4 linked regions of the Lonchura striata genome follow. The protein of the gene in region 2 purifies or fractionates together with the protein of the main gene of each other region. This does not show direct contact. Links are inferred from orthologs where the notes say so. Each region holds a gene or a part of one and is shown on either strand. Other genes may lie near its edges. The genes, in order: EIF3L, EIF3B, EIF4E and MTOR.

Region 1 (6,859 bases), on a different chromosome or scaffold from region 2:
AAACTGCATTCTTTCATCTCCCTGTTGGAAATGATATAACTTTTTAATAATTTTAGTTAGTGATTTTAATTAACTTTTAAATTAATAGCTCTAGTAAATCATAATCTATATATACAATTATAAACAGTGTGTGATTCTTAAATTATTCTTAGCCAGTATTTAGCAAAGCTGTCATAATGTACTTTTGTAGGAACATAGCTTGGGGAAACTACTGGAACTTTAACTTTTGATAAACTAACTCTGACATGCTTCAATGAACAAAACCTGAGAAAGATGTATGGTTGAGGTTGGACATCTAGAATGTAGAATTTATGGACCACAAGGACTGTGCAGAAACCAGAAGATAAATAAGGGACTAACAAAGACTTTCCAACTCAGTGTATGTGTTGGAAAGTCCCTACCAGAGGAGAAAGATACTAAAAAGACTAAAAATATAGACCAGCTAGCATGAGAAGCAAGAAATCAATACCCCACAGAGGACACCGTACTAATTAATAGAAGAGAATTATGCAATTTACAACCAATGAACATTCATTTATTTGTTTGCTAAAAAATATAAATAAGTGAAGAAGTTTTATATCTGAGTCTGAGTGGAGGTCAGAATTTTGTGAGCCACAAAAATCCCTCCTGGCCAGCAACAACGTAACATCTTACGCACTAACACTATAAAGAAAATGTTAGAGGGGTTTATTTACCCCAACAATTTAGAAGGATTTAGTAACAATTTACTGGTGACCCAGGTGAGACAACGCATTTGATGTTCCACAGACTTACAGGAACAAGGACTTTGGTGCACACTGAAAGACTTTTTTCAGGGAAAATGTTCAATCCTCTGATCCAGGCAAGTTCAAGGCAAAAAATCCTGGGAGTTTATTAAGACATTACTGAAGGTTTAAAAAGGTATACCTAATCATAAGCTTGCACTCTCTAACATAATAAGAGTTAAGAAAGTTATGATATATAATTGGCTATTTTCTATTAAAGTTAGTGTAAAACTCTGTAAGTGAATATTAATGGAATTGTGTTTGAGTCCCACTGTCTAGTTGGAAAACTCTAATTGTAAAACTATATAAGTGACAGTCAAAAGGTGTTGAGTCTTCACCCTCTGCTTTGCCCATAAATTAGTCAGACAGTGCTGCTTGCATGAAGAGCCACGTTGTGGAAGGGCTTTGCCCAGATATGTCTGCTTATTGAAGCCTATGGTATCTGTTAGTGTTGGAAAATGTGTGTGTTAACGTGTGTCATAAGCATAAATTGAGTCTGTATGAAAACTCATTGGCTGTAAGAGTGTTTAAGCCATTGTATGTTGACTGTGAATTTTAGTGTACTTGGTGTGTACTAAGTGTTTGGTTTTGGGTAATGTAAATTGTTAAAGCGAGGGTCCTTTGCTCAGAGCCCTCTCCTGGCGTTAGAACAGCGGCTGCTCCTCCTAGCTGACTGGGGTTATGTTGGTGTGCACAGAGCGCTCTCTCGTGTCGTGTTTTTGTCATTGCTGGAATTTCTATTTACTGTGGGCTTTCCTTTTTCTTCTCGAGCCCGGGAAGAGGGGTATACGCAAATGTTTGCCTTTAGGTTGCATTTTGCAGCACTGGAAAGAATTTAAAAGCAATTCTTTAACTGGTAATAGCATAATGTATTCTCTGGTGGCTAGAGTATCTATTAGATAATCAAGGAAAATGGTCAGTTCATGGTATTTGACACCAAAATGGTATTTTAGAGTTGATATTATATTGCCAAAAGAAAGAGAAATGGAACAACATAGTACCTCAAGCAGTGATGAGAGAAGCAGGAAAAGATAAACACAGAGAAACACACTGGGGAGCAGAAGCTATGAGAGACAACTTGAAACATCAAGCAATTAGTGTAAAAATACCAGGAATTAAAAGTGTAGTCAGTAAGTGTATATGTTTGCAACACAATCCACAGCCCTACAAAAGACCTCCTTTAGGGATTATAAAAAGAGAAAACTGTCCTGGAGTTTATAGGCAAACAGATTTTTCTGAATTACCTCGACAAGAAGGATATTGATACATATTGGTTTTAGCTGACACATTTTTTGGATAGCTACTTGCACCAACAAAGCAAGAGAAGTTACCAAGATATTGTTAAAAGAGATAATACCCCGATTTAGAATTTCATTCGGAATTAATGATCTATGATATCTTATAACAAAATACAAGCAAATTTTTTGCATCTTGATGTCTTAAGTTTTGCTAGATATTCAACAATTTAAGTGCAAGTAATCATAAAGGAAAATTAAGATCACTTCCAAAGGGGGAAATTTTTGGAAATGTCAGAACTTTTTAGTAATTTTAGCTAATGTTTTTAATTACCTTTTAATTAGATTGTTTAGTCATAATCAATAAATATTAATTCATTATAAATTGTGTGTTATTCTTTTATTACTCTTAGCCAGCATCTAGCAAAGTTGTCATTAAGTTCATTTTGTAGGAGCACAGATTGCAAAATTTACTAAGACTTTAAGTTTTGATAAACTAACTCTGATATGCTTCAATTAACAAAGCCTGAGAGACAAAGATGTAGTGTTGAGGTTGGACATCTGGAAAGCAGAATTTATGGATCACAAGGGAATTTTGCAGAAACTAGGAGAGTCCAGCTCTGGCCCTGGTTCTAATCTACTGGGTCACACTGCCTCATCATACAGTGTATGGCTTAGGTAATCATAACTTTTTCACCTAAATCAAAACATTATTCTCTTGCTGCTAACAACTGGGCAAAAGAACATACCAAAACAGCTGGGACAGTACAGCGTTGATTTAGGCCCAGGCAGATGGAAAACTAACACTATGAACCAGGTGCAATGAAAAAGTGAAAACAATAACCAGCCACACTCTGCTTGGAGAACAAACCTGGATTTTAAAAAAGCCTTTTCTACATCTGAAGCATCTAAAGCACCCTGACCACAAACTATCTGCATCCACTTCCTCCTCTCCTGGAGTAAGAGCCTTTGAGATAATGCCCTTCCAAGAAGAGGTCCCAAGTGGGACTGACAGAAGCCTTACCTGTGTCCAAATCGTTGCTATTGGCAGCTTCACGCAGCCTTTTCAGAGCTATGGAGGAAAGAAAGCAATTACTGGAAAGTACAGAGGGAAAAGGCACGTTTCCCTACAGACACGTTCCACCCCGGTGTTCGAGCACACGCGGGGGGCCAAATCAGGCTGCTACCGGCTCCAGAGAATGGGAAGCAGATCAGGACAGCAGGATATAGAATGGTTCTCCTGTCTCCTGCCGAAGCGGGCTGCGGGCCCGCCCGCTCCCGACGGGCGCCTTCCCCCGGCAGGGACGGGCACGGAACAGAGCCGCCCGCCCTCCCTTCCCTCCCTGCCTGCCGCGGCCCGAGCGGGGCGGGCCGCAGAGCGGCTGTTCGGCCGCGGGACAGCGGCTCCCCGCCGCCGCTCACCGTGCGCCTCCTTGCCCGTCGGGCCCAGCCGCCGGTGGAGGCGGGCGGCCCTGCGCAGGCGGCGGGCCGGGATCTTGCCCGCGGGCTCCTCCCGCTGCCACAGGACGTGCAGGTAACCGAGGGGTGCGTCCGCTCCGAGCGGCGGCAGCGCGATGCGCGGCTGCGGCTGTGCCTCCGAGTCCGGCCCCGGCTCCGAGTCCGGCCCCGCGGCGGGCGCCCCGCCAGCCCCGCCGCCCTCCATCCCGTCACGGCCGGGCCGGCAGGGGCGGGACGCCACCGGCGGCACAGCCCGCGGTGCAGCCAATGGGCAGGGAGCGGGCGGGGAGGCGCGGCGGGCAGGGGCCAGAGAGCCTGACGGGCAGCTGCCTTCCCCAGTCAGACAGAGAGGGGCGGCCGGCCCGCCCGGGTGAAGACAGGCACTTGCTGTGGCCAGTAGAAGGGCTCCGCTCGGCCCTTCGCCCCGCCCCCGCGCCAGGCCCGCGTTTCCGCCCGCAGCGCTGTCCGCGCCGCGCCGCCGCCATGGCCTACCCGGGGGAGGACTACGACACCGAGGTGCGGGCCGCGGGCCTGGGGGGCGCGGGGCTCGGGGCCGGGTTCGCGGGGACTCACTGCCGCCCTCTCCCCACAGGCTGCCTACGACCCCTACGCCTACTCCAACGACTATGACATGCACACGGGTGAGTGTGAGCGCCCCGCGCCTGCCTGCGCCCCGGCCGGGCCGTGCGGCGCTGCCTCACTGCTCCTCCTTCTCCGCAGGAGACCCCAAGCAAGACCTGGCCTACGAGCGCCAGTACGAACAGCAGACCTACCAGGTGATCCCCGAAGTGATCAAAAACTTCATTCAGTATTTTCACAAGACGGTGTCAGATCTCATTGACCAGAAGGTGTATGAGCTCCAGGCCAGCCGCGTTTCCAGTGATGTTATTGACCAGAAGGTGTACGAGATCCAGGACATTTATGAGAACAGGTACTTCCAACAGATGGAAATCACTGTTTTAACTTGTGATGCTGTTAAAAGGGAAGGCTGCTACCTGTGCTGTTCCGAACTTGGGCTTTCTCTGAAACGGGTTTTGTTTGGTAACTGTGAAAAAAAATTCGTTGGTATTACCAGCCCATTAGGCCAATGTGAGTATAGACGAGTTGTGATTTGTCTGAAGGGAAGTGTCAGCCCTGGCCTAACAGGGAGGGAGGCTGCAAAGAGGGCTCTCAGTGGTGTTAGTCTGGCAGTTTGCAAAAACCTGAGGTACAGCTTTTGTGTCTCTTCCAAACGGTTGCTTCCACTCCTGCTTGTAGCTGGGGCAGCTTGACTTAAAGGGAGTGTGGAAGTGACGTACATGTCTGTTTCATGCCTGGGAGATAAATTGCAATCTTACTGCTCAGCTTGTGATTCTCATGGTATGCTTCAACATTGGATTTACTAGCAGGGGTTGGTGGTGCTGCTCAGCTTTCATCAAGTCCAAGGCCTCTCTCTGTTGTCATCTCTGACTCCAGCACTGTCATACTGAGTGAAACGTGGATTTTCATACCTCATGTGTGTCTGTTTTTCAGCTGGACAAAACTGACAGAAAGGTTTTTTAAGAACACTCCATGGCCAGAGGCTGAGGCCATTGCTCCTCAGGTTGGAAATGGTGAGTCTTTCCACTTTCTGTTGGGTTGTCAGAGAGAGAAGGAACTGAATTTCTCCTGACCCTGAGTTATCAGGTGCACAGCGTTGTTGCTGCCTGAGTCGGTCGCCTTTGTTCACTCTGGCAGCTCTTTCAGCAGATGCCTGGCAAGAAGTCAGACTTGAGTGAAGCGTCTTTTTGTGCTTCCTTTCGTTGTTCTGGCAGAAGGCTTCTAGGCCTTGTGGCTTGCTAATGTCCTCTTATGTTGTCTTTTCCAGATGCAGTTTTCCTGATCCTATACAAGGAGCTGTACTACAGGCACATCTACGCCAAAGTCAGCGTGAGTGTTGGCCCTGTGTCTTCTTGTGGGCTGCTTGCTGGCTTCTCTGTGCCAGCAAACTTGACAAGTCTTGCTGCCCTACAGTATCAGTGGTCCCCTAACCTTTGCAAGGCAGGATTGGATGGGTTCATGAGCTGTAAGTCACACTGATTTTAGGGAAGATTAAAATTTTTGCTTTTGGTAGTTTAGTAAGGATTCACTGACTGCTGAAAAGCAAGAAAGACTTGATTGTCTGTTTGAGGCTCATTAGCTGTCTCTTCAGGCTTGGTGGTGATGAGTGTGCTGGTTTCTGTGGTAGCTCAGATGAATCAGGAGACTGGATCTGAGTGTTCAGGAGGCTCTTTGTTTCTAACAGCAAATGTAATGGTTAGTGAGTTAGGGAATAAGGGGGTGTTGGAAGGTAACTGAATTTTCCTTTTTTTTTGCTTATGTGTGTTTCTTTGTTTTTCCTCTTCAAATGAGCAGGCAGTGAGAAGGGGTGTCACAAGAGGAAGGTGCATTATTTGTCATAAAAATCCTCATATGGGATCAGAGTGCCTTATGAAAAGGGAAACATGGATACCATGAAGGATGGAGAAGAAGGAAATGAAAAGAATAGTGCTCTGTGAAACGAAACAAACTTTGTCTTTTTTAAGCCTATTTCTAAGTCTCTTTAATCAATGAGAAAGTCATAGTACTTGGTTCTTAAAGGAAAAAGTCTCAACAGATGCATGACTTTTGGGTAAATAAGTAATAACTGCAGTTTTATTGTAGACCAGAGGGTGGAGAAATGGACACTTTTAAAAGCCTGCTGTGTGCCCAAGCCAAACTTCAGCAGGAGAAACTGGTTTCTCAAGCTGTGCCATTAGTGGTTTTCAGACTCAGTGTCTCCAGCTGAAACAAGAACCAGTAGGTCAAGTGTCTAGGAATTATGTCCAGAAACAGAATTGTTCATCTATTAAGGCTTCTCATGAGCAGAGAAGGAAGGAAAGCTGGTGAAGGAATAGTGAAGTTCTTGAATCTGAACAGCAGAGGGGAGCAGGGAAGGTTAATGCAGAATATTCACAGGATGTTTGACTGCTTGATATCCTGGGAGAATCTGCCTATACAGGAAAAGCCATCCCTATTTTGTGGGACAGCAGTGCTACAATTACAGGTTTTCTGGGCGATGCTGGTGGGTGTCCTGGTTGAATACTGGCTCTAGCACTCCTGAACCAGACCCTCTACTGTTGTGACTGTCCTTATGCTGTTGCCCATGAACTCCCTCCTGCCCTGCTTGATTTGAAGCAGACTCTGCTGACTTCTCTTTGCAGGGGGGGCCCACGCTGGAGCAGAGATTTGAGTCTTATTACAATTACTGCAATCTCTTCAACTACATTCTCAGTGAGTTGCTGCAATTAATTTCTGGTTTGTGAGTTTTGGAGAGAAAGATCAGATGGAGAGGACAGAGCTGGACAAAGGGTCAGAAGAACAGCAACATGTTTCTTTATAAGTAATAGAGGGAAAGATATAAGC
Region 2 (7,109 bases):
GCATCACTGTAATTAAGAATCACACTCTAGCTAAACCTTTAATTAAGCACAAAAATGAAGGTCTAAGGTAAGACACTGAAAGCCCTATTTAATCTTTGTGAAGACAAGCACACATCTTTTCACACTGAATATTCTTCTAACATATTAATACCTGAATATTTGCAGAAAGCTTTAAGATTAAGTGAAGAGCACTATAAAGTACAAGACTACAGAGAAAATAAGTTCACACCACCATACTTTTGAATTAGATAATATTTGGAGTCAGACTATGTACAGCATGCATAGACTAAGAAATAAAATTCCAAACACATGTAGAAAAACTTAAAATATGAGAACAAACTAAAAAATGTTTTGTATATGCTTATATTTCAAAGACATTAAATTTTTGTTGGTTTTGTAATTCAATAAATTTTTCTGCCCAGAAACATCACTGGAAGGATCTCCAGCAATGAGGAAAAATGAGAAACATGCTTACTTTGAATTTCAAACTACTAAAAATTTGCTTTGTACAACTTCAAGCTTCAACAGATTATTCCACATGAAGCTTCCCATTGATCTGGAGCAACATAAATCACAAATATCTACCCCATTACCACCAAGGCTATGTAGCATCCACAGAATGTTGTTTGCAATATTTATCACTCAAAAATATCATCTGCATGTGCATGCAGGAACTACAAATAACGATATAAAATACATAAAATGAAAGCATGTCCTACAAAGACATTTCCATAGGAGTCTACTAGCAAAAGGAGAAAACCAAAGTAAAACACAAAAGGGTAATTAAGGCTCCTTTAGGCATTTTTTTCATAGCCACTTCTCAAAAAAGACTTTGTAGGCCAAGGAACGCACGTTTAGATTCCTGAGTAGGAACACCATGTATAGAACCAAAACTGTAACAGACTGAAGACAAATTCCCACACCGTGCCCTTAAATTCCAAATAGTGAACAAAGGAATCTTCAAAGAGCAAGAAGCTGGTTCAGCCAGCTCCTGCTGCAGCCAGGAGGGAAGCAGGGTGTGGTGGGTGCAGGGCTATCTCCAGCTGGCAGCACTTTAAGGACCACTGCCATTATCTGAACTGAAGCTTCACTGGTACCCAAGTGTCTGTCCAACACATCCCTTCTGCTTTAACTCGGATCAGCTGCTCTTCCATGCCAGCAGCTGGGAAAAGAAGAGGCAGGAAAGGATCTGAGATGTTCCAGTCCTACAGCTGGTCCATCCCACAGGTACTCCTGAGCATCTGTGTTAGCACAGCATTGAAAGAGCCTTGGCTTGGTCACACTGGGCTGCTCTTCTCCTTGGGGAGGCACCAGAAAAATGGGAAAGGAATAAGGAAGCTCAACTAGCAACACACACAGATGGAAAGCCAGATCAACAAGAGTGACTAAACTTAATCCCTGTAATTCAGCCACTAACACTGGATTTCAGGCAGCTGAGAAGTTCACCCAAATTAATTAACAAAATAGGTGGGGGTGGAAAATATGCCCAGTTTCTAAGAAGGAACTGAACATAACAATCCCACATATACACAAAGTGTATTAAGCAGGCACTTAACAGAAAGAATCCAACTCCAAGGCAATGTTGCCAAAGTCTCTTTAAGAAACAAAAGTTCAAACAGCTGCCATACAGACTGCTAAACTGAGAACAGCAAACACTTCCTTAATCTAGGATATTTGGCTGCTGTTTTAGTAAACTAAACCAAGGACTGGAGCACAAGAATGCACCTGTATTCCACTGCCAGTTGAGATAACTGGCTGATTTACAGTTCTGTGCTTTAGAAGCATCTTTCCACTTTTGATACATGTAACAGACCCTAAAGACCCTAAAATAGCACAAATGCTGAATAAATAATGGGGAAAAAATACGTTTGCTATTCAAAAACTAAGAATATTTATCTGGAAAGACCCATCTGAAAAACACTAAATTAAGAGTTCTCACTTCTGTATGACAAGCCCATGTATAAACATTTATTGTCTGTGCAGATACACAACAGTTTGGCAATATTAAGGCAGTCAACAGCCAGTACTTTTATAAAAGTCTGGGCCGACATTTTTAGCTGCCAGAAACGACTTTCCCCTATTTTCTTATCACAAAGCACTTACATCACATCTTTGCGAGCAGTAACTCGTCTCAAATCCTATTTACCTACTGATTTCATTCTGGGCTCATGAAAAAAAAAAGAAGAACGATGAAACACAGTTTGTAACCACATCGACCATTTAAAAAATCTGTTTCTACAGCTGAGTTTAACCAGTGGAGCAAAAAGGCAAGGCAGCTGGAGACTGCGCTCAGGGGGCAGCCCACACCTGAGGTGTACAGCGGCTCAGAACCGCTTCAACAGCAGCTTTTAGAGCAGCGGGGCTGTGCGGTGCAGAGAGAACTCAAAAAGGGACGATTTGAGAAGCACAGCTCGGATGCGGAGGCGCAGGGCTCGGGGCCCAGCGCTCCCCGGCTCCCCACGGGCTCCCCCCGTCCCGCACCTTCGTCGCTGATGTCGTCCACGAAGTCCTCGGGGTCGCTGAAGGAGATCTCATCCTCGGGCTCGGCCGGGGCTGCGGGCGCGGCCTCCCCGTCCTGCTGCGCCGCGCCGGGCTCGGCCCCGGCCGCGGGCTCGGGCTCGGGCTGGGGCTCGGCCTGCGCGGGGCTCTGCCGGCCGGACGGCGGCCGCGGCTGCTCGGGCTCCTCGGGCGGCCCCTGGGACTCGCCTCCTCCTTCCCGCTCCTCATCCTCCTTCTCCTCCGGCTCCGGCTCCGGCTCCTGCGGCGGCTCCGCGGGCGGCGCGGGCGCGTCCGTGAGCTCGGGCTGCTCGGCGGGGCCCAGCGCGCCGGGCGGCGCGGCGGCCGCGGGGCTCTCCTCGGTGTCCTGCATGGGGCGGTGCCGGGTGTGGGTGCGGTGCCCGGTGCCGGGTGTGTGTGCGGTGCCGGGTGTGGGTGCGGTGCCCGGTGCCCGGTGCTCCGGTCCCGGAGCCGTCCGGAGCGCGGCGAGGCGGGGGAGGGGCGGGGCGGCTCCTACGGCCGGGCCATGTGCGCCAGGCCCAGCGGCCCGCGCGCGCCGGCACCTACCAACGCGCGCGCGGCCAGAGGGGGAGCCCCGCCCCAGCCGGCGCCGCCGCCCGCCGCCGCCCGCTCTCCCCGCCGCGCACAGGAGATTCCGGTGCCTTTGCCAGCCCCGCCTCGCTCCGCCAGCGGCGGCGGCTTCGCCTTCTCACCCCACTGCACGCCTGACATCCCTATTTCTGACTGCTGTGGTTGAGCCCAAGATGGCGCCGCCTTCCATTCTACTGGGGTGGGGTCCGGCCGAACCATCTTTTGGGGGGCGCCGTTCCATTTAGCTGCGCTGACGCCCAGTGAAACCTCCTCCCTCAGCACATGTCGTTGCCCATGACTGAGCGGCCGGTGACAGAACAATGCCGCGGTGACAGGGCAGCGCACTGCCACGAACCTCGCCCTACCGCTCCCCCCTACAATCTTTCACTATGGCTTCGCCTGATGGCAGTCGGCGCGCGCGCGGGCACTACCAAGCCGGTGCGGAGGGGGAGGCGCGCGGTGCTTCGCCAGCATCGACGCGGTTGTGCCGGGGCGCGGCGAGGGCGGCGGGTCAGCGCACCCCCCGCGGCGGCGGGGCCATGTGGTACGGCCCGGCGGCAGCGCCACATCAGCCGGGCGGGACGGGGCGCGGGGCTGAGGGCGGCGGCGGAGACCGAGCGCTGCTCTGGCCCCACCTCTCCTCTGTGGGCTTGAAATAACATTTTTCCTGAGGTACAAGGTGACAGTGGCCATGCTGCGGCATCTCTGCCTGCCCCGCGAGAAGCCTTAAAGGTCCGGTGAGCTCCCGGTGCAGCCGGACACACAGGACAGGGATCTGAGGGGTCACGGTGTGCAGTCCTGGCGGCTCAGCGTGATTTTTAAATGGTTTCTGAACTGGTGAAGCTCCCCTATCTTCACGTTGGCTACCAGCATGACTGACCCCAGAGACTTGGCCACACGTTATCGATTAAAGCATCGCATGCTGTCCCGGGCACCTCAGGCTGATGAAGAATACAAAGAATACATAAAGTGTGACTCGTGTCACGATGTGTATTTATATACATATATATGTATATATACATATATATATGTATATATATACATATATATATGTATGTACATATATATGTACATACATATATACATACATATATATGTATGTATATATATATGTACATATATATATACACACACATATATATATATATATATATATCGTATATTCAGTGTGGCTCAAAGAACTTGGAATTTACCTTGAGATGACAATTCTAGAGGAAAAAGTTCTCGAGAATGGTTCCTCTGTACAAACTTGGAGACAAACACTTGCGTTGAGTAGGATTTCTTTTTTTAGCACAATGCTTTCAATTAACTGTCAAAACAGACAATGCCAGCATTAAAAAAAAAAAAAAAAAAAAAAGGCAGAGAAGGTACTGTACATGGCATTTTTAAAATTAGACTTTGTGCTGTGTAATTTTTCAGGGAGGCACACGATGGCATCCAAACTCCACTCCAGTCCCCCGGCTGAGTGTGCCCGTTCCCTGCTGAAGGCAGCTCCGGTGAATGGAAATGATGACTGCCACTTTGCAGCAATTTTTCCCCCTCCTGGTATCGTGGTAGCTGACCAGACCCTGACTTCCAGTCAGCACCAGCACTGACTCTGAAGTGAACAGAAAGTGCTGTTTCCTGCCATCACAACTGTGTGTTTTTCCAAATGTGAGGCAGGACAGGCTGCTGGTCAATCCATGGTCCCTGCTGGGTGCTCAGTATTCCGTGGCTCTTCCAGGGCTGTGTATGAGGTCGGTGTTGCTGTTGTTTCACCGTTCCCACCGTTGTCTGCATTGCTGGAATGTGCAATTTCTGCAATTGCCCTTTTTCCTGTTTGCACTTTTCCAGTCCTTTGGTTAAGCAGTGGATCTAAACATTGGATTCTCCTTTCCCTGACATTGCACAGGCTGCTCTTTGCACTTTCCTCTACTTTTCAGCAACTTTTGATTTATCTGCTCTTCCTTCCTTCTCCTTTTCCTTTCTCTGTTGAAATTTCCCCTCAGTCCCTGTCCTATCTCACTGCTATTCTTTTTTCTTCCAGCCCTTACTCAGCAATCTGAGGGAGAGTAGAACAACTTTTAAAAACAGAGGTTTTGGCACTGGCAGCTGAAGCCTGTTCCTTTAAGTACTCCACATGCAAAACTCCTAATCAATGGGAAATTTGGGGGGAAAAAATGTTGCAGGAAAGGCTTTTTGTAACACAGCTCTCCAACCAGCAGTGCCTCATGAATTTTATTGCGTGCAGGTGATCTGAGAATAGTGGAGCTGACAGCTCTGTTTCCTAAACTGAATTCTGAAGGAGTAAGCAAATTCTTGTATGAAATTTCATCTAATCCTGACAGGACGTGCCCAGAATGACACTCTGTGAGGCAGGGCCTCGGGTAGGGACCTATTTCTGCTTTGCTTTTGTCACCTGGAACCTGCTGGTTCAGCCCCTCTGGTGAGCCCCAGCTGGAGTCGTGCATCCAGCTCTGGGGTCCCAGCACAGGAGGGACAGGGACCTCTTGGAACAGGTCCAGAGGAGGCCAATAAAATGCTCAGAGGGATGGAGCAGCTCTCCTGAAGGAAAGGATGAGATAACTGGGATTGTTCAGCCTGGAGAAGAGAAGGTTTCAGGGTGACCTGACTGTGGCCTTTCAATACCAGAAGCGGCCTGCAAGAAACATGGAGAGAGACTATTTACTAAATTGAAATAGAGTAGGTTTTGATTAGATATTAGGATTATTTAATTAGATATTAGGAAAAAAACTCTACCCTGTGAGGGTGGGGAGCCCCTGGCACAGGGTGCCCAGAGAAGCTGAGGCTGCCCCATCCCTGGGGGTGTCCAAGGCCAGGCTGGATGGGGCTTGGCACAACCCAGGCTAGTGGAAGGTGTCCCTGCCCACAGAATGGGGTTGTAACAAGATGATTTTTAAGGTCCCTTCCTGACATGTGTCCTTTTTTTTCTTTAGTATTTATTGTTTATTCTTAAGGTTTTCCAGAAGCTTTTGCTGCAGTTACAGCAAATACAGAAGTGTTCAATAACTTACATCAAGCAGACTCTTTCTGATCCTGTTGAAAAATTATTTCTGCAATTGAATTATTTTCCACAATATTTTTCTTCAAGACTCCAAGGCAATCTTCAGTTGAGAATATCTTATTTATACCAAATAAATAGTTATGCTATTAGCTTAAGTACAGACCAATCAAAAATCTATAGCTAAATGAGAACATGTTGATTCCTCCATTCATTTTCTCCAAAAATGCCATATAGGCGAAAAATCCTGTGGTGTTCAGAAGTGCTGAGCACGCAGAACTCTGCTCAGCTGCTGCACAAACATGATTTGAAGGGCCTCTCAGCTTAAATAATGTCATGCTTTTTTAATTTTATACACAGCTTTCGTCTGCACCCACGCTCGTGGGGACTGAGCTGAAATAGCACTGAGGGAGGAGGAAAAGGAGAATCACTCGACTCATTCACATCTTTGTAGCAGCGCAAAAACTTCCAAAGGGGAGCACTGTGGTCACAGTTAGCCCTGAAATAATTCTCACTTCATAATTTTCTACTTTAGTTCTCTCCTGTGCACAATGGAGGTGACTAGCTTCCCATGATTAAGAAATATCAGGAATATTAATTAGGGAATGCATCTAGTCCTTTGGACGTTGAAAACATAAAGCATTATTATGGATTGTAACACCTCAATCTGGAAGTCCAAAATCTATAAATTTTTTTCTGTGTCTGACAGTGTTTTTAGGAAAATTGCTGTACAAAACATGCACCTTTTTTTTTACCATGTCAGCTATATCATTCCTGACTAATAAAGTACAGGAAGTGGGAAAAAACTAATAAAATGAGAGGTGCTCATACACGAAGTTCTTGTTTTTATGTAGTTTTGGAAAGTGTATTTGCATTTCAAATGTTCATATTTCTGTGCTTTTCTGAATAGCTTAGTGTTCATTTCTACCAAATTTACCAAAAATCCAGATGCATGCAAAATATAAATAAATACTGAGAATAGGAGACTTGATTAATCACCTGGATGGCGGTAGAAATGCCA
Region 3 (7,097 bases), on a different chromosome or scaffold from region 2:
AACAGGTTTTAAACGTCAAGAAACGAAGACTACTGCAAGAAAATAAACAGCTTCTAAACTCAAGTTTAACCTCGATTACAGAATAGTTCAAAACTGAAAGACAATTTATCCGAAGAAAAAGTCACATTAATTCACATTTAAAGTTTGCGTTTCTCTTTCACAATGGAGGCACTCTACCAACATCCCTGATTTAATGCTCCACTCTATCACCTCAAAATTCAAACTAATCTTTACAAAGCTGCCAAAAGGGATATTTTTCATCAAAAAATTTTGCATGTACCTCCATACCTGCAGACAGCATCAGTAAATGAAACACACCTTGATTTCATATGCCATTTTTATGCATGTCTTTGAAATAAGTTGTGCAACATACCCCTCTTAGAGGAAGCTCCATAATAACTCAGATATGTTATTTACAATTCAAAAGCTTATGATAAATATTCTCAATTATAAAACAGCATGAAAGGTACATCTATTCTGCATCATTTCAGAAAAATGCAATGAGCAAGCAACTGTGTTCACAATACTGCAGTTCAATGCTATACTAACTTCAAGCAGATCAGGTCACTGACTTCTACAGCAGAAACACCTAGCAACAAGAGCAAGTCTGAAGTTGAATTAAAATTACATGCTACCTGTCTACAGATAATGCAAAATAAGTACCTTTCAGCCTACATGGAATTTTAGGAGCTATTATGAGCTTTCCAGCATTTTAAGGTCCTGCACCACTATGTTTGTAACCCCTTGAGATAGTAGTTTCATTTAAATAAAGTTTTGATTCTCACCTATGTATGATTACCTTCTCAAACAAGTGCTTTTCAAATTACAGATAACTGAAATGTCACTGTTGTATGCTAAAAAATAGAGTTAAATTCACAAGAATTGTAATTATAACTGCCATTAATCAAAAACGCAAAAGAGCCATGATGCCATTTCCAATTTGCACAATGAGGGATTAGATTTATATGCACCTAGAAGTTACAGGCTTTGTGCAGGTACATTTTAAAGTCACCTTTGGTAAATTGTTTACTAAAGCATTACTCCTCGTTTTGTCATGGACTTTTGCATGGTGTTCTCTGATCACATTTAATCCTCAAAGGCTATATAAGCACTCTAACAGTGCTTATAACAGCACTCTAACAGGTGATACTTCTGCATAGTCTCAAAAATTAATCTAGAATATTTTTAAAAGAAAAACCTAGATATCACAAGAAAAACAGAATTTTTACTTGTCAGTGTTGCAAAGGTTTAAGTTCTCCCTGCAGCAGAGAAGTAAACCACTGTGCAATTGGTCTGTATTTATACAGAATAATTTTGCTTTTTTGACAACTATTATGGGACTCACTACAGAATTCTCAACTTAAGTTTCTGTATTTAAGTCAAACATTTTCCCAGCCTCTTAAGACTTTCAATGTATGCTACTTTTGAAACTATGACAGTACAAGAAACACCACTGATCTTAGTAGAAGCCTGTATTCATAAAACCAAAACCAACCCTTACTCAGTTGTATTTTCATTTCATTCTCCTACCAGGAAAGCATTACAGATGACATCTCTACAAACCAAGGTCCAGATTTTGCAGGTGAGCAACAGAAAGGCCTCCCTGTGATCCAGAGGTAGTCCCTGACCACACATGCAATTAAATTGTTCAGCTACAAAGCACGCAGTATTTCTGCAACACCTCTGACCTCAGTCACTACACACGCCTAACTTTAGGCTTAGGCGAGAGAAGGGAGCCACTTACAAGGACAATAACAAAGACTTTGTTATTTACTGCAATTTGAAAATAAGCACGCACAGTTGGTTGGTAGCTGACTCCTGAATGCGAACATACTGCACCTACAGCAAAACATTCAATAACCGCATTAATTACTTAAATTGTTGTGAGTTTTGCTCCATCTTCTACTTTTAGGGGCTCAGCACAACTGCTCATACTGAACTGGATCTGAGCAATCAATCTTGCTGGGACACAGCACGGCAAAAGCAATCGTTTACTTTCTGCTACATTAGGCCAGGATCTACCCCAATGTGCTGATGGAGTTAGTGGAGAAAATGGTGTAAAGACAGTTTTTGTGCGAGCAGCACAGCTAAGAAAGCCGCAAGGTGCAGGCCTTTAGAGTAATTTCATTTTCTAATGGCTGTATTACAAGTTATTTATCACAATTCCTACTAAGCTTCACAGTCACCACAAGGCACTGCACCGAGAGGAAGCCCTCATCTTCAGATAAGTGGGCAACAACTCAAAGACTGGCTCCGGGATGTGAAAACAAGTGTTTAACACTGGCTGAAGAACACCGGAAGGGTGCTGCTGGTGGTCTGTCTTGCAGTCTTAATAACTGACACTCTCCTTGTACAGAACTGCTGCCACACAATTTATAAATGCTAACCCACTTCAATCTCTTCCTCATGGATAAAAATCTGAGGTTTGTTTCACACAAGAAAACCATTAAGCGAAAAATCAAAAATGGCAAAATTAGTTTTTATTTAAAACCACTGATTTCAAACTTTTTTCACTTTGTCTAAATGATACAAAGCCTCCCCAAACAGCACACTGGCTATTTATTCAAAGCTGGCGAGCACAGCAACAAGAGACCAGCCCTCCTTAACTGTGTTTTCTTGAAACCCTAACAGAGTCGTCGGCTGTCCTCTCCTCATGATACACAATCATGTGGGATTAGAATAACAACTGTACTTGGATCACTTCCAGCTGCTCCAGCTCATTATGGAAGTGCAGGCTGGGGCTACGTTTGTTAAGACCGAGCATAATATACCATGAACATAACTTATCACCTGGAAAAAACAAAAAGAAGTACTGAATTATCATGAATATCATGAAAGATCTGGAAAAAAAAAAATCCTCTCGAATAAAAGACGACACAACCTGGGAAAAGCGATTGGTTTGCTGACTCTCACCACCGGGCTGTGGCGGCGGCTGCCCCAGCAGCGCATCTGTGCCTTGCCGGCCCGCGCTCGCTCCCCGCGGCGCCTCTCCGGGGCCCGGCGTGCCGGGAACGCGGCCCTTCCTCACGGCCGGAGGAGCCGCCCCTCGCCGCCCGGCCCGCCGCGGCGGCGGGAACCAACATGGCCACCCCCACCGCGCCACATGCGCCGGGCGGCCGCCGGGGCCGCGGGCGGGGCGCCGCACAATGGGCGCCGCCGGACCGCGGGCCGCGCTGCCGCCGGACCCCACCGGAGCCGCGGCCGCCGCGCTCGGGCGGCGGTGCCGGCACAGCCACGGCGCCCGCCGCCCCCTCCCCGGCCCCTGCGAGCGTGCGCTCCTCGCCGGCCTCCCCGGCCAGCCGACTCCTGCCCGACCGCCCGGCCGGGCCCCCACCGCGCCCCCGCCCGCCGCGGCCGGCGGAGCGGCGCCTCGACGAGGAGGAAGAAGATAAGGATGCCGTAGGAGGAAGGCAAGGTAAAGGCGGGCGGGAGAAGTGAACGCGGCACTCACCGGCTCCACCGCCGCCATCTTAGAGCGCTCGGATCGCGGACGCACCGCGGGGCGGGGCGGGGCGGGGCGGGTAAAGGCCCCGGGCCGCACGCGATTGGTCACGAGCGCCCGGCGGCCGTTGGGGGCGCGCTGCCAGCCGGGAGATGTAGTCACCCAGCGCGGGGACCGCCGGGAACCCCCTATTGCCGCCCGGGCAGGAAGAGGCGGGCCGGCGCGGGGGCGCCCTCTGGCGGCCGCTGTGGGAGCAGCAGCGCGCGCCCGCCGCTCTGAGCGCACGGCGCGGCCGCAGGCGCCAGAGCCCCCCCGTGCCCCCGGCACAGCGCTCTGTGCCCCCTGTCCCCGGAACAAAATCAGAGAATATTTAGATTGGAAAAGAGCTTTAAGAACATTGAGTCCAAGTGTTAACCCAGCACTTCAAAGCCCAGCTCGAAACCATGTCCATAAACATCACATCCACACATATTTCTGAACATTGTCCGGAACGGCGATTCCACCACTCCCCGGGGCAGCCTGTTAAACCAAATAATGAATCCCAGCCGTGGGATTCATTTCAGTGCTGTGATTTCATTAGTACTTACCAAAGGCAAAGGGTTCAATAAAGAAAAACACAATAAATATATAAGTAAGTTCTTACCCTTTTGTAATGCTTCTTGATGAAACAAATACCGTAACAGTTTTCAAAGTAAAAGAACTGGGGCATATCTTTATCCCAGTGACAAAACAGAAATTGAAAAACAAAATATTTCTTCCTAAACGGTATAATTTTAAATCACATTATGATGGCAAAACAAGAACATAATCTCTGAAATTTGTACATTCAGAAAGTACATGAAGAAGCAGGGGTTTTTTTACTGTTTTTTTTTTTTTTTTTGTGTTGTTGTTTTTTTTTTGTTTGTTCTTTTTTCCCAGCATATATATCTATATCTATAGATATGGATATAGATATAGTTCATTTTACCTATTCTGCAAAATTTGATTTCTGGTAATTCTTTATAGACGGTTTGATGCAAAACAGTAATTAATAAATCTTCCTATTTATTTGCCTACTATGCTGCCATATGGATCTTATATTCCACTTTACTTGCTTGGCAGACATGTACATTCTTTGACTACCTGTTCTAATCCTGCTTTTAAGGTTCTTAACATAAATAATCAATCCAAAATCATCTTCTTCCCTGATAGTTTATTTTCATCTTTTTCTGTGTTTAACTTTGTATTTTTATTCTCAAACAGCAAAGTGTACAGACACACATTTTACAGCCTTGAACATCATTTTACTGAGAAGATCTATAAGTGCGTATTAACCACCAAATTGTATTGAATGTCATATAGCATTTGGCTATTTCATTTCTCTCATGCAAGGCAAGGAGAACAGCATGAAGCCCTCTATAAGTCAGCTATGCTTTTTAACAGTTCTTAATTAGCTAGGTGAATATAGCACAGCTGAGCTCAGAACATGGCCTACCTCATTGCCACACAAATGGGAAGCAAGCACGTGTTGTGGTTTGGGATATGCTTTCCTTTGATTTGTTGAGTTTTGGAGGCAAAAAGCCTCTAAAGATTATATCAGAAGTTATCCAACAACTTACAGTAGCAAAGATACGATATAACACACATAGTAGACCAGATGCTCAGAAGTGATGTGGCTGCCTTGCAAGTGGTATAATCTTCAAACTAAAAGGTGATTTAAGATGGAAGGCAAAGAGGTATCACAGATATAGCCAGAAAATCCCACCTTTTGAAGTCATAGTGGAGCAAAGAAGGGGCTGAAGTAAAGAAATGCTGAGTATCTCGTCTTCAGCAGTCCTTCAGGGATTTATCAGTTTCCAGTGTGAATCTAGCTAGTGCTGGGAACATCTCCAATGTGCATCTCCAAGTCAGAGGTGTGTAGGTATGAGCTCGAATTGATCTGCACACTTATATCTCAGTGATTTGAATGAAATAATACTTTTGAATACTGTTGTATGTGATTAAAAAGCTGATAATCTAAATTTAATTTTGAAACCTGAAAATAAAAATAATTTTTAATGTCACACAGTATTGTCCATGGTATCTAAAGTGGAAATAAAACACTGATTTTATTTTACTACTGTTAAGTCTATTTTATGGCCCTTTGATGACACAAACTAAACTAAATCTCTTTGGATATCAATAACATTCCTGTTGAATTCAGTTTAATTCTTTGGGCCAGAACTTCACTCCATGACTTCTACTTTTTCTGTAGCAACGAATAAAATTGTTCTAATCTCCAGACATATTCGTGGATTCTTTCAAATATTTCCAGCAGTAGAGTTTTTCCCTTTAAGGCTTGCAACTTACTGGTTAAATAGGAATGCTTTTTATAAAAACACCTTTTTTTTTTTTTTTTTTTTTTTACAAAAATGCAGCTTGTTTCCCTTTGATCTTGTCCCATGATAAAACAATCAGTTTCATATCCATACATTGGAAATTGCTAAAATTTTTGGATACCAGAAGAGTGTTCTTGAATGCACAGAGAGCCATTCTTACATCACAGTGCAAATTTGATACCCTGTATTAAATACAGACTCTGCAAGAGGCATAAACTTGAACAATCAAATCAAAACAAAACAAAAGAATGCAGGATCTTCCTTTTCACCACAACTAAAGCTTGCTTGGAATTAGCTTTGAGTAAGGCTGCTCCAGCCTGGATTGTGGCTGGAGTGGGCCTTTCAGTAGTTTAGTTTGTATCTGTACCAATGGAGGGGATAAAAGTGATGCAGGGGCTTAAAATACATTGCAACCTCTTTTGACTTCAGAGAATTGGACAGAACTTGAAATCCCGCATGATTTTTCCTTAAAGAGAAAAAAATGGAGGCATGTATTTCTTTAGTGCAACTCTGTTCATACACAAAAGATGTTTACAATGATTTTCCCCCCTATGCTCTTAGTATTTTGCTTTGAGCACAGGTTTGTCTTTTCCTCTGGGTAATGCTTCCTATAGGGCTGTTTTCCATTCACTTTTTGAGGTAGTGCTTTTGTGGCCATCTTTGAGGTGCTTGTGATGGGTTTGCGATTTCTGTTTTTGGCAGACAGACATGCACAACCTACATAACTGTTGCATTTGGTATGAGAAACTCACTAAGTGCCTGTACCATCTGGACAAGCCACAGCAGGGCACATTTGCATGTGGTCTGGCTCCTGGGTGGCATTTTTGCATTGTTTCAGCCCTCCCTAGACAAAGAGGCATTTAATTGTGTCTTCGATGAGCCTGAACAGGAGACAGCTACCAAGAGCTTCATTGGGAAAGGGAGACTGCCCAGCCCCCACTGCTGCAATGTAGAGAAGCAAAGCAAGGAGGGGGGACCCATGCTAAGGTGCTCTCTTAATTAAGTAATGTCAAATTCAGTGGCCATTTTCTCCCTAAGCAGCAGCTGTCTCAGCTGCCAGCTGCTCTCGCTTTTCTGCGGCTGCTCTCTGACCCATGAGACATGGCTGACCTCCCCTTTTGCCCTCTTTGCTGCCCTCACATACTCCCAGCCTTGCATCACTTTGGAGGAGTTGGGAGGACAGCAGTGGACACAAATCAAGCATCATGAATGGGCTATAAAATATGTGACTCACGCCCCTCTCTGTGCGTTGGTCTGTAACACAGGGGGACAGGCAGCCAGAAAGGGATGTGAAAAGC
Region 4 (7,640 bases), on a different chromosome or scaffold from region 2:
GGCACCTACATTGTGATGCTAAACATTTGGCAGTGTTTTCTGACTCCCATATGGGAGCCACTGGACTCTTTCACCACTATAAGAAAAGAAGTGATAAGAGAAATCATTGTGCTTGTGAAGTGAATGGAGAGTGTGATTTGAGGCTCTATCTTTCATAGAGTGAACTGACAGTGAAAAAATTACATAGCAGAAGGATGAGGTTCTTTAAACATTTCCTTGACCTGTCCCCTTGTTCCTCACATCAAAGCCACACAGTTCTTCTGAAGAACTGATAAATCACTTTTTTGAAAGTATAAGCTGTGTTCTATAAGCTTTCCATGACCAGAAATCATAATTTCACTATCAACAGTGCAAGGTCTTTCCATTCTTCTCACTGTCCATAACGTCCATTTATTCATAAATTCATATTTATTCACTGTTAATTGGCATGAATAGTGAATTATGAGGCTTGACCCTACAGCTCTTTTCACAGTTTGGGCAGAGCACCAGCTGGTGCCAAGGTAATGCCAAAGACATAGAAAAGGCCCAGCAGTAGGTTGAGTTTGGCTGTCCGCTGAGGAATTTTGCAGAAGTTCTGACTCCGGAATTGTCTTTCCAGCGAAAATGCCATGGGGATGGTGAGCAGTGGCAGTGCCATGCTGATGGTATAACGTGTGGCCAGCACACAGAAAATCAGGTAGGGCAAGAAGAGCAGCACAGTGTAGAGGATATAGGAGAAGGTGGGGCCAATGAGGATGGCCAAGGTGACAATGCCCGCCTGCCGGTCCGACTCCATGTCCCGTGTGTTGTTGCTGTGCAGGATGGCCTCAGTGCTGAGGGCCAGAGGGACAGCGTAGAGCAGGGGTGACAGAGACAGGTAACCAACCTGCACTGCGTGGGCAAACATCACAGCCAGGGGCCCAAAGGTGATCAGGATCACCACGTCGCCAAGCGCAACGTATTTAAATCCAATTCCTGTGGCAAGACACAAGGATAAAGTCAAGCATCATTAAATAATTCAAATGACAGAAGAGCATGGATGACATAACAGTTCCCATAGGAATATTCCTATTCCTGAAACGTAAATTTTAAGGAATTTAGGGATTTTAAAGGAGCTAAGATTTTAGTTAGAGATAAGCCTTACTAGAATTAATTAAAATAAATGAGTAGGCCGTGATGAAGTTAAGAGTTAGGAGTTAACTAATAATTGATTGCTTGTCAGCACAATGTTTAGTTATCTGGGTTTATAATGAAGAATACACAAACTGACAAATAGCTTTTAGGAACATAAGACAATTGTGGCCTCCTCTGTTCTGAAACCAATTGAAGACAAGGAATGGGAGTTCTACCAAGAGTTCATTTGTGATATTGGCATTGAAAAGGTAGAAAGGTCAGAACGAGGAAGACTTCATTTACTTCCTCATTTTGGGACCCCTCCCCATGAAAGGGACACCGACCCATTTCAAGGAACAAACCATGCATGCTGAATGGCTTTTGAAGTGATTAGCATACAAAGCAGGGAATGGGATGTACCAAAATGATGAATATGGATTTGTATTTTGGATATTCAATATTTGTATGGATAAAAAGACTCTGTAATCACCTGGAAGCTGCGGTGTGGATTTGGGAGTGATCCTACACACAATAAACACACATTTTTCAACTTTAAACTGTTAGAGAGTTTTTGTCCATCACAGTTGGATATTGGTACTAGATCAATATCCATATTTTTAAATAAATCATTCCCATATTTCTATATATCCAGCCTTGATGCTGTTGAGGCAGGATAGGAATGAATAGACTTTGTTCAGAAGGCTGCGAGTATAACTCTGATTTATTTATCACTCTTTATATTGGTCCTGAAGTAAAAACATCTCACCTATTGATGTGCAGTGAAAGACATGCAGTACCAAAACCTAACTATAAACAATGTGAACAACAAGAAGATAAAGAACCTTATTTACATTCTTCTCAACAGTTTCTCAGGCTTCTGTCTGGTTAGAAACTTTCCATTTCTCTCTGAGAATACCCACACAGCCTTTCTCATAGGAACATTACAAAACAACCAAAGCACATGCAGCTATGGACAAGAAACACATTATCTCCTTCTTTTTTAAGGTAAGAATTTCTCCAGACAAAAAATGTAAGGGCCAGGTTTTAATGCCCATCTAGAAAGACCTGTCTTTTCAGAAACCTACAGAAATAAGGTATTTTTTTTTCAGTGTGATCATGTATACGAAAACCTGATCCTAAAGAAATATAGAAAATGCTCAGAACAAAATGCAAAAAATGACAAGACAGTTTCAGGGAAACCCGCATAACTGAAATTCTGACAGTTAGAAACTCAGCTGTTTTTTCTTCCCCTACTAATGATGTTTGTATCTGTCTATCCAATACAGGAAGACACTAAAATATCCTTGTCTTATTAAGGAGAATCACACACTGTACAGCATTCATAGTGAAGCTCCATCTAAAGAATAACAACGAAACATTCCAAAACAAAGTAACATTCCCAGCAAAGAAAATATGCCATTAGCAACACTGCTAAAGGATATGAGATAAACTTCACAAAAAGATTCAGCAACAGTTCTGGGAAGCATCTAAAGCCATATTTGTAAACAGTAATGCCTCAACACCACTATCTAAGTGAAGATGTTAGTATGACTCTTCCCACAATATTCAATTGCAAAGAATATAACTTTATGTACCAGTACTTCAGGAAACACCACAAATATTTTATTGCAGTGCACTGTGTCTTCTAGAAGCCTCTTGACAATTCCGCTGATTCTATCACTTCTACAAGCAGATTCACAACTAACGGGATGCAGCACTTACCTCCGGTATAAAGGAAGGAGCTGGAAAGTCCTCCAAAGTAAATCAGGGCCAGGTGCTCCAGCTTGAGCGTCGAGACAGCGTAGAGACCAGCAGCGCAGATACAGCCCACGGTGTAGAGAAAAACTCCAAACCGCACCACATCCTGCGGCTCCAAAATCTGGTCCACCAACGTCCTGTCATCACTCTTCTTATGATCGATGCCTTTGGAAAAGTCATAATAGGTGTTCACCAAGTTGCCGGCCCCGTGCACAGCCAGGACGGTCACGGCGCTCCCTAGCAGCAGCCCCGGGTCCAGCGCTCCCTCGGCGCGGTAGGCCAGCGCGCTGCCCAGCGCCACGGGGGTCAGCGAGGCGCTGAAGCTCCAGGGCCGGAGCGCCAGCACGTAGGCCGCACACTTGTGCCTCCAGCTGCCGGGGGCGGCTCCCTCAACGCCCGCCAACGCCGCACCGCCGCTCTCGCTGCCGCTGCCGCGGGGGCTCTCGGCGCTGATACTGATCTTCTGCACCAGCTCCGCCGGTCCCATGCTCGCCCCGCCGCCTCGCAGCGGCAGCACCTAGAGGGGGAAGGGCCGCTCGTTAGCGGGGCCCGGGCGGAGCGAGGGGCGCCGCCGCCGTCACGGCCGGCGGGAGATGCGCGGGCGCCGCCATTACGTGGCCGCCGGCCTGCGCGGCCTCGCCACCCCCGCGGCCCCGCGCCAAGAGTTCCGCACCTGCCGGCACCTCCCGCTGTCAAATTAAAACGAAAATTTAGCGGCCCGCGGTGTCACGCGAGGCAGCGAGGGGGTCACCCCGCAGCACGCGCCGGCACTACGATTCGTGTCATAGCCGCCACGACACGAAGCCTGGCGCGGACACAGCCGCCCTTGCGCTGTCACGGGCAGCCGGACACATTTCGGCGGAGCACGGCGCGGCAGTGCCCTCCCCGCTCCCGTCACGCATGCGCAAAGCGCACTCGGGGCTCAGCTTGCGCCGGGATGGAGCTTAAAGCTCCTCTGGTTTCATCCCGCCACGGGCAGGACACCTTCCACTGGCCCAGGCCCCATCCAACACTTCCATGGATGGGGCAGCCACAGCTTCTCTGTGCCACGACCTCCCCAAACATTTTCCTAACATCTAAACTGAATTTCCTCTCTTTTAGTCTGAACCTGTTCGCCCTTGTTCCTGGTTAAGAGTCCCTCCTTGTATGCCCCTCCTGGTACTGAAAGGCTGCTCCGAGATCTGCACACAGCCTTCTCTTCTTCCACAAGAGCACCGCACAGCTCGGTGTCACTTGCTGAGGGTGCCTCAATCCCATTGTCCATGTCGCCGACAAAGTTGGTGAATACTATCAGCCCCAGCACCACCCCTGAGGGACGCCACTCGTCCCTGGTCTCGATGTGGACAATGAACCGCTGACCGCAACTCTTTACGAGCGTCTATCCAGCTAGTTCTTTATCCAACGAGTGGTCTATCCATCAAATCCACGTCTCTCCAGTTCAGAGACCGGGATGTCATGCGGAACGGTGCCAAAGGCTTCACACAAGCTCGAGCAGGCGATGATAGTTACCTACCCATGCTGCAGCCCGGCCATAGCCGGCACCTCACGGAAGGGCGGAAGCCGGCGTCGGGAAGGCGGGCCTACTGGGTAAACCCAGCCATTCTATTGGTCAGCTTTACTGCCACTCAGTCTCTACTGCCTTGATGATTGGTCGAAAGGCGGCTGTCCTTGCGGTTCTTTGGGTCAGGGGCGGAGATTTGAGCGCGTTTTCCCCGTTTCTCTTTTCCTATTGGTCAGACGAGATGCCGATCAAGGCATTCCTGGGCGCCTATTGGCCAGCGGCGGCTCGCCGGCGCTGCGGGCGCGGCGGCGGGGCAGGCACGGGCCTGGGGCCCGGAGTAGGGGAGGCGGCGGCGGGTGAGTGAGTGAGAGCGGCGGTGCCTGTCATCATCATCGGCTCCCCTTCCCCTCAGCTCCCGCTTCCCGCCCGCCCCGACCTGCCCGAGCCCCCGGCCGCGCGGCGCTGCCGCCCTGCGGCCCCGCCGGCCGTGCTCGCCTCGCCCCGCCTCACCCTCCCTCACGCTCGGCCTGCGGCGCTCCCCCAGCCCCGGCTCGGGCCCGCCGCGTTCTGTGGCCCTGAGGGAGTGCCAGGCACCGGCTCCGGGCTGGGTTGATGTCAGTATCCACCCCCCGCGCTGCTCTTTGATGCGGAGCCTCTCCTGGGCTCCTGCCAGCAGCCGCCTCACCTGTGGTCCCGCTGGATGTCTGCGAGCGCGTGTGGAATATTTGGGGAGTTCTGGTGTTAGTGCTTGGCTTGGTTTTATGTAATCTGAATATGGGGGGGCGTCAAGCGTCTGAAATGTTTTTGACATAAAGAAAGGCTCCCGAGAAAGTTTGTTTATGTGTCATGCTAGGAAACCCCCTGTTGCAATGATTGGTGTTGCTATAACTGGACCTCCCATCTCTAAATATCTGTTGGAGAATGTAACACTTGCCAGTGCTGAGTCTTCCTTGTGTTGGTGTAACACTGAGATTTCTGTGAAGAAACTTGGATGAAAGTGTTCAGGGAGGAGTCAGATATGATCGTGATATAATCCTTGGAATGGTTGTGCTTACTTATTATTGGTAATTGCAAACCCTGGTTTTACCCTGCTGTTTTTCAACTGTTGCATTACTCTTGATTTAAGATTAGATCACCCTAGAGGACCTGGCCTACTGTAATGTATTTTGGTATTTGAGGAACTAGAGAGCAAATAGGCTGGGTGTCATGATACGTGGTGATACAGTTTTATCATGGAGTGTAATGCCTAAGGAATATAGTCATTACTTGTAATTTTATGGTCTACACAGCATCTTTATGGGTATTTTGGGAACAGTCAGGAGGGAAGGCCTTACGAGAGAAGCTTGGAGATTTCAATTCAAGCAGTAAAAAATGTGTCTCTCTGAAGAATTTACAGGACTTGATGCCCCTGAGCCCCAGCACACTACCACCATGTCGGGCACTGTGTCCATTCTCCAGCAATTTGCCAATGGCTTGAAGAGTCGCAGCGAGGAGACGAGGGCGAAAGCTGCCAAGGACCTGCAGCATTATGTCACCATGGAGCTGCGTGAGGTGAGTGCTACAAATGGGATTATTTATCTTTGTGCATCATCTGAGTGTAGATTATTGGGCTGGGTGCCTTGGGAATGGAGGTTTTTGGAATATGGAAGCTGGTCTCAGGGAAGAAATGGGGCACAGTGGAGAGCTTGTCTTTGCTCCCTGGCATGTAGGAGAGGTGAGCAAGTTGGTGACACAAACGGGTAGTCAAATACCAGAATAAATAAATTTGCTGCATATAGGTCACAAATAAGAGAAACTTTTTTTGAGCTTGTAATGTATGGTTGATTTAATGTCTTTCTGTTTAAGTGGCATATGAAGCACTGTCTTTTTGGAGGTTTTGGAGCAGGAGGGACGAAGAGAATGCTGAAAGCTGATTTGAACTTTTTGCTTTTACAGATGAGTCAGGAAGAATCTACCAGGTTTTACGATCAGCTGAACCATCACATATTTGAGCTGGTCTCTAGCTCTGATGCAAATGAAAGGAAGGGTGGCATTCTGGCTATAGGTAAGTGAAAGTGCATAATGCCTCTGCTGAGTTTTCTTTTCATGCAACTATCTTTAGGGACACATTTCAAAAGGAATGAGCTTTTATGGTCGGGGTCTGATGTCTGACAGCTCAAGATACTGGATGTGTTCTAGTTGCTGGCTCTGAAAATCTGCCTGAAGTGTCAGCATGGGAGCTACTGAGAGTGGCTGAAAACCTGGTACTTAATGGACTCTCAGCTCTTCTGGGAGTTGAGCATCAAATGTGAATGCTGAGCTCATGAAAATTCTGTTCTGGAGCTCAGCTGAGAACACTTTGTACTGCCCCTTTATATGTTTCAGGCTAGGCTGACTTTCTCAACTCTCTTCCATCTGGAAAGATTGATTCTTGTTATTTAAATTTACCTGGCTCTATAACAGTAACTTGCATCCCCAAGAGGGGCTCACATAGCTTCTGCTGTGATTGTGATCAGCCTCTCCATTAGTGGCTCTGGCTGTGTGCTCTCTGTGAGATTGCAGAGCTGCCTGAATCCCCACTCTATGGGAAGTCAGCTTGCATAAATACTTTGCCTTCCAGGCAAAGAGCCTGTATTGTAGCTGTTACTCCTTAAATAGCCAAAGAGATGTTTATGGTTTAGGCTCACAGACATAATCATCCAATCCCAATGTGTTTGAAGGCAGTGTAAATCCCTTAGAGAAATCTTTATTGATAACATCAGGTCTTAAGCTTACAGTATCACATTCAAATTGCTTTGTGAATTTAATGATGTTGAAAGCTGCCAGCTTGACAACCCTGATAGCCTCTTTATCTATAAAACAAGTGCAACCCAGGCACTGGCAACAAAAGCTTCTGCCATGCTGGTGTCTGAGGAATTGCCTCCACCCTGACCAGGAGAGACTGTCTCTAGGGCTGAGGAGGAGAGCATTTCCTTGGTCTCTTCAGTCTTTGACCTCTCTTGTGAGGTGGACTAGCTATAGTAGTTGCATGCAGATGTATGTCTTTCTATTAGGAACAGGTCTATGATCACAGGGTGAATTACTTTTTTTTCTCTTCTAAAACTAAAAATGGGGAAAATCTATGAGGCTACCAGATGCATTTTTCCACTCACTTGAAAACTTCAGGCTCAAAAGAATGGTGGCCTTTTCCTGTGCTTGATTTTTTTTTTTTTTCACCCTGTGGATTTTTAGTTTAGAGGGACTTAATAGGAATCTTTAAGGAATGTGTAGGGAATACTAGCTGTCATCCAGGGATTTTCTGCTGTCTGCC

Evidence for each region.
Region 1: the proteins of EIF3B (region 2) and EIF3L purify together in Homo sapiens (affinity purification with mass spectrometry; 8 studies listed by BioGRID and IntAct, counting the BioPlex papers as one, with this or other methods). This does not show direct contact. The link is inferred for Lonchura striata from reciprocal best matches to the Homo sapiens genes EIF3B and EIF3L.
Region 3: the proteins of EIF3B (region 2) and EIF4E purify together in Homo sapiens (affinity purification with western blotting; 5 studies listed by BioGRID and IntAct, with this or other methods). This does not show direct contact. The link is inferred for Lonchura striata from reciprocal best matches to the Homo sapiens genes EIF3B and EIF4E.
Region 4: the proteins of EIF3B (region 2) and MTOR purify together in Homo sapiens (affinity purification with western blotting; 3 studies listed by BioGRID and IntAct, with this or other methods). This does not show direct contact. The link is inferred for Lonchura striata from reciprocal best matches to the Homo sapiens genes EIF3B and MTOR.

The regions. Positions count from the first base shown.
Region 1 is NC_134607.1:23,541,930-23,548,788, forward strand, and holds the start of EIF3L (eukaryotic translation initiation factor 3 subunit L), read left to right. Parts: upstream 1-3,843; 5' UTR 3,844-3,940; coding exon 3,941-3,973; intron 3,974-4,049; coding exon 4,050-4,098; intron 4,099-4,177; coding exon 4,178-4,388; intron 4,389-4,969; coding exon 4,970-5,049; intron 5,050-5,303; coding exon 5,304-5,365; intron 5,366-6,657; coding exon 6,658-6,727; intron 6,728-6,859. Other genes in the region: ANKRD54 (ankyrin repeat domain-containing protein 54), read right to left, coding at 3,024-3,071, 3,422-3,662. UniProt on the Homo sapiens protein: Component of the eukaryotic translation initiation factor 3 (eIF-3) complex, which is required for several steps in the initiation of protein synthesis.
Region 2 is NC_134618.1:13,450,330-13,457,438, reverse strand, and holds the start of EIF3B (eukaryotic translation initiation factor 3 subunit B), read right to left. Parts: upstream 3,010-7,109; 5' UTR 2,870-3,009; coding exon 2,482-2,869; intron 1-2,481.
Region 3 is NC_134606.1:49,886,366-49,893,462, reverse strand, and holds the start of EIF4E (eukaryotic translation initiation factor 4E), read right to left. Parts: upstream 3,021-7,097; 5' UTR 2,834-3,020; coding exon 2,693-2,833; intron 1-2,692. UniProt on the Homo sapiens protein: Acts in the cytoplasm to initiate and regulate protein synthesis and is required in the nucleus for export of a subset of mRNAs from the nucleus to the cytoplasm which promotes processes such as RNA capping, processing and splicing.
Region 4 is NC_134626.1:5,764,188-5,771,827, forward strand, and holds the start of MTOR (serine/threonine-protein kinase mTOR), read left to right. Parts: upstream 1-4,623; 5' UTR 4,624-4,707; intron 4,708-5,738; 5' UTR 5,739-5,782; coding exon 5,783-5,902; intron 5,903-6,286; coding exon 6,287-6,395; intron 6,396-7,640. Other genes in the region: UBIAD1 (ubiA prenyltransferase domain-containing protein 1), read right to left, coding at 467-954, 2,815-3,337. UniProt on the Homo sapiens protein: Serine/threonine protein kinase which is a central regulator of cellular metabolism, growth and survival in response to hormones, growth factors, nutrients, energy and stress signals.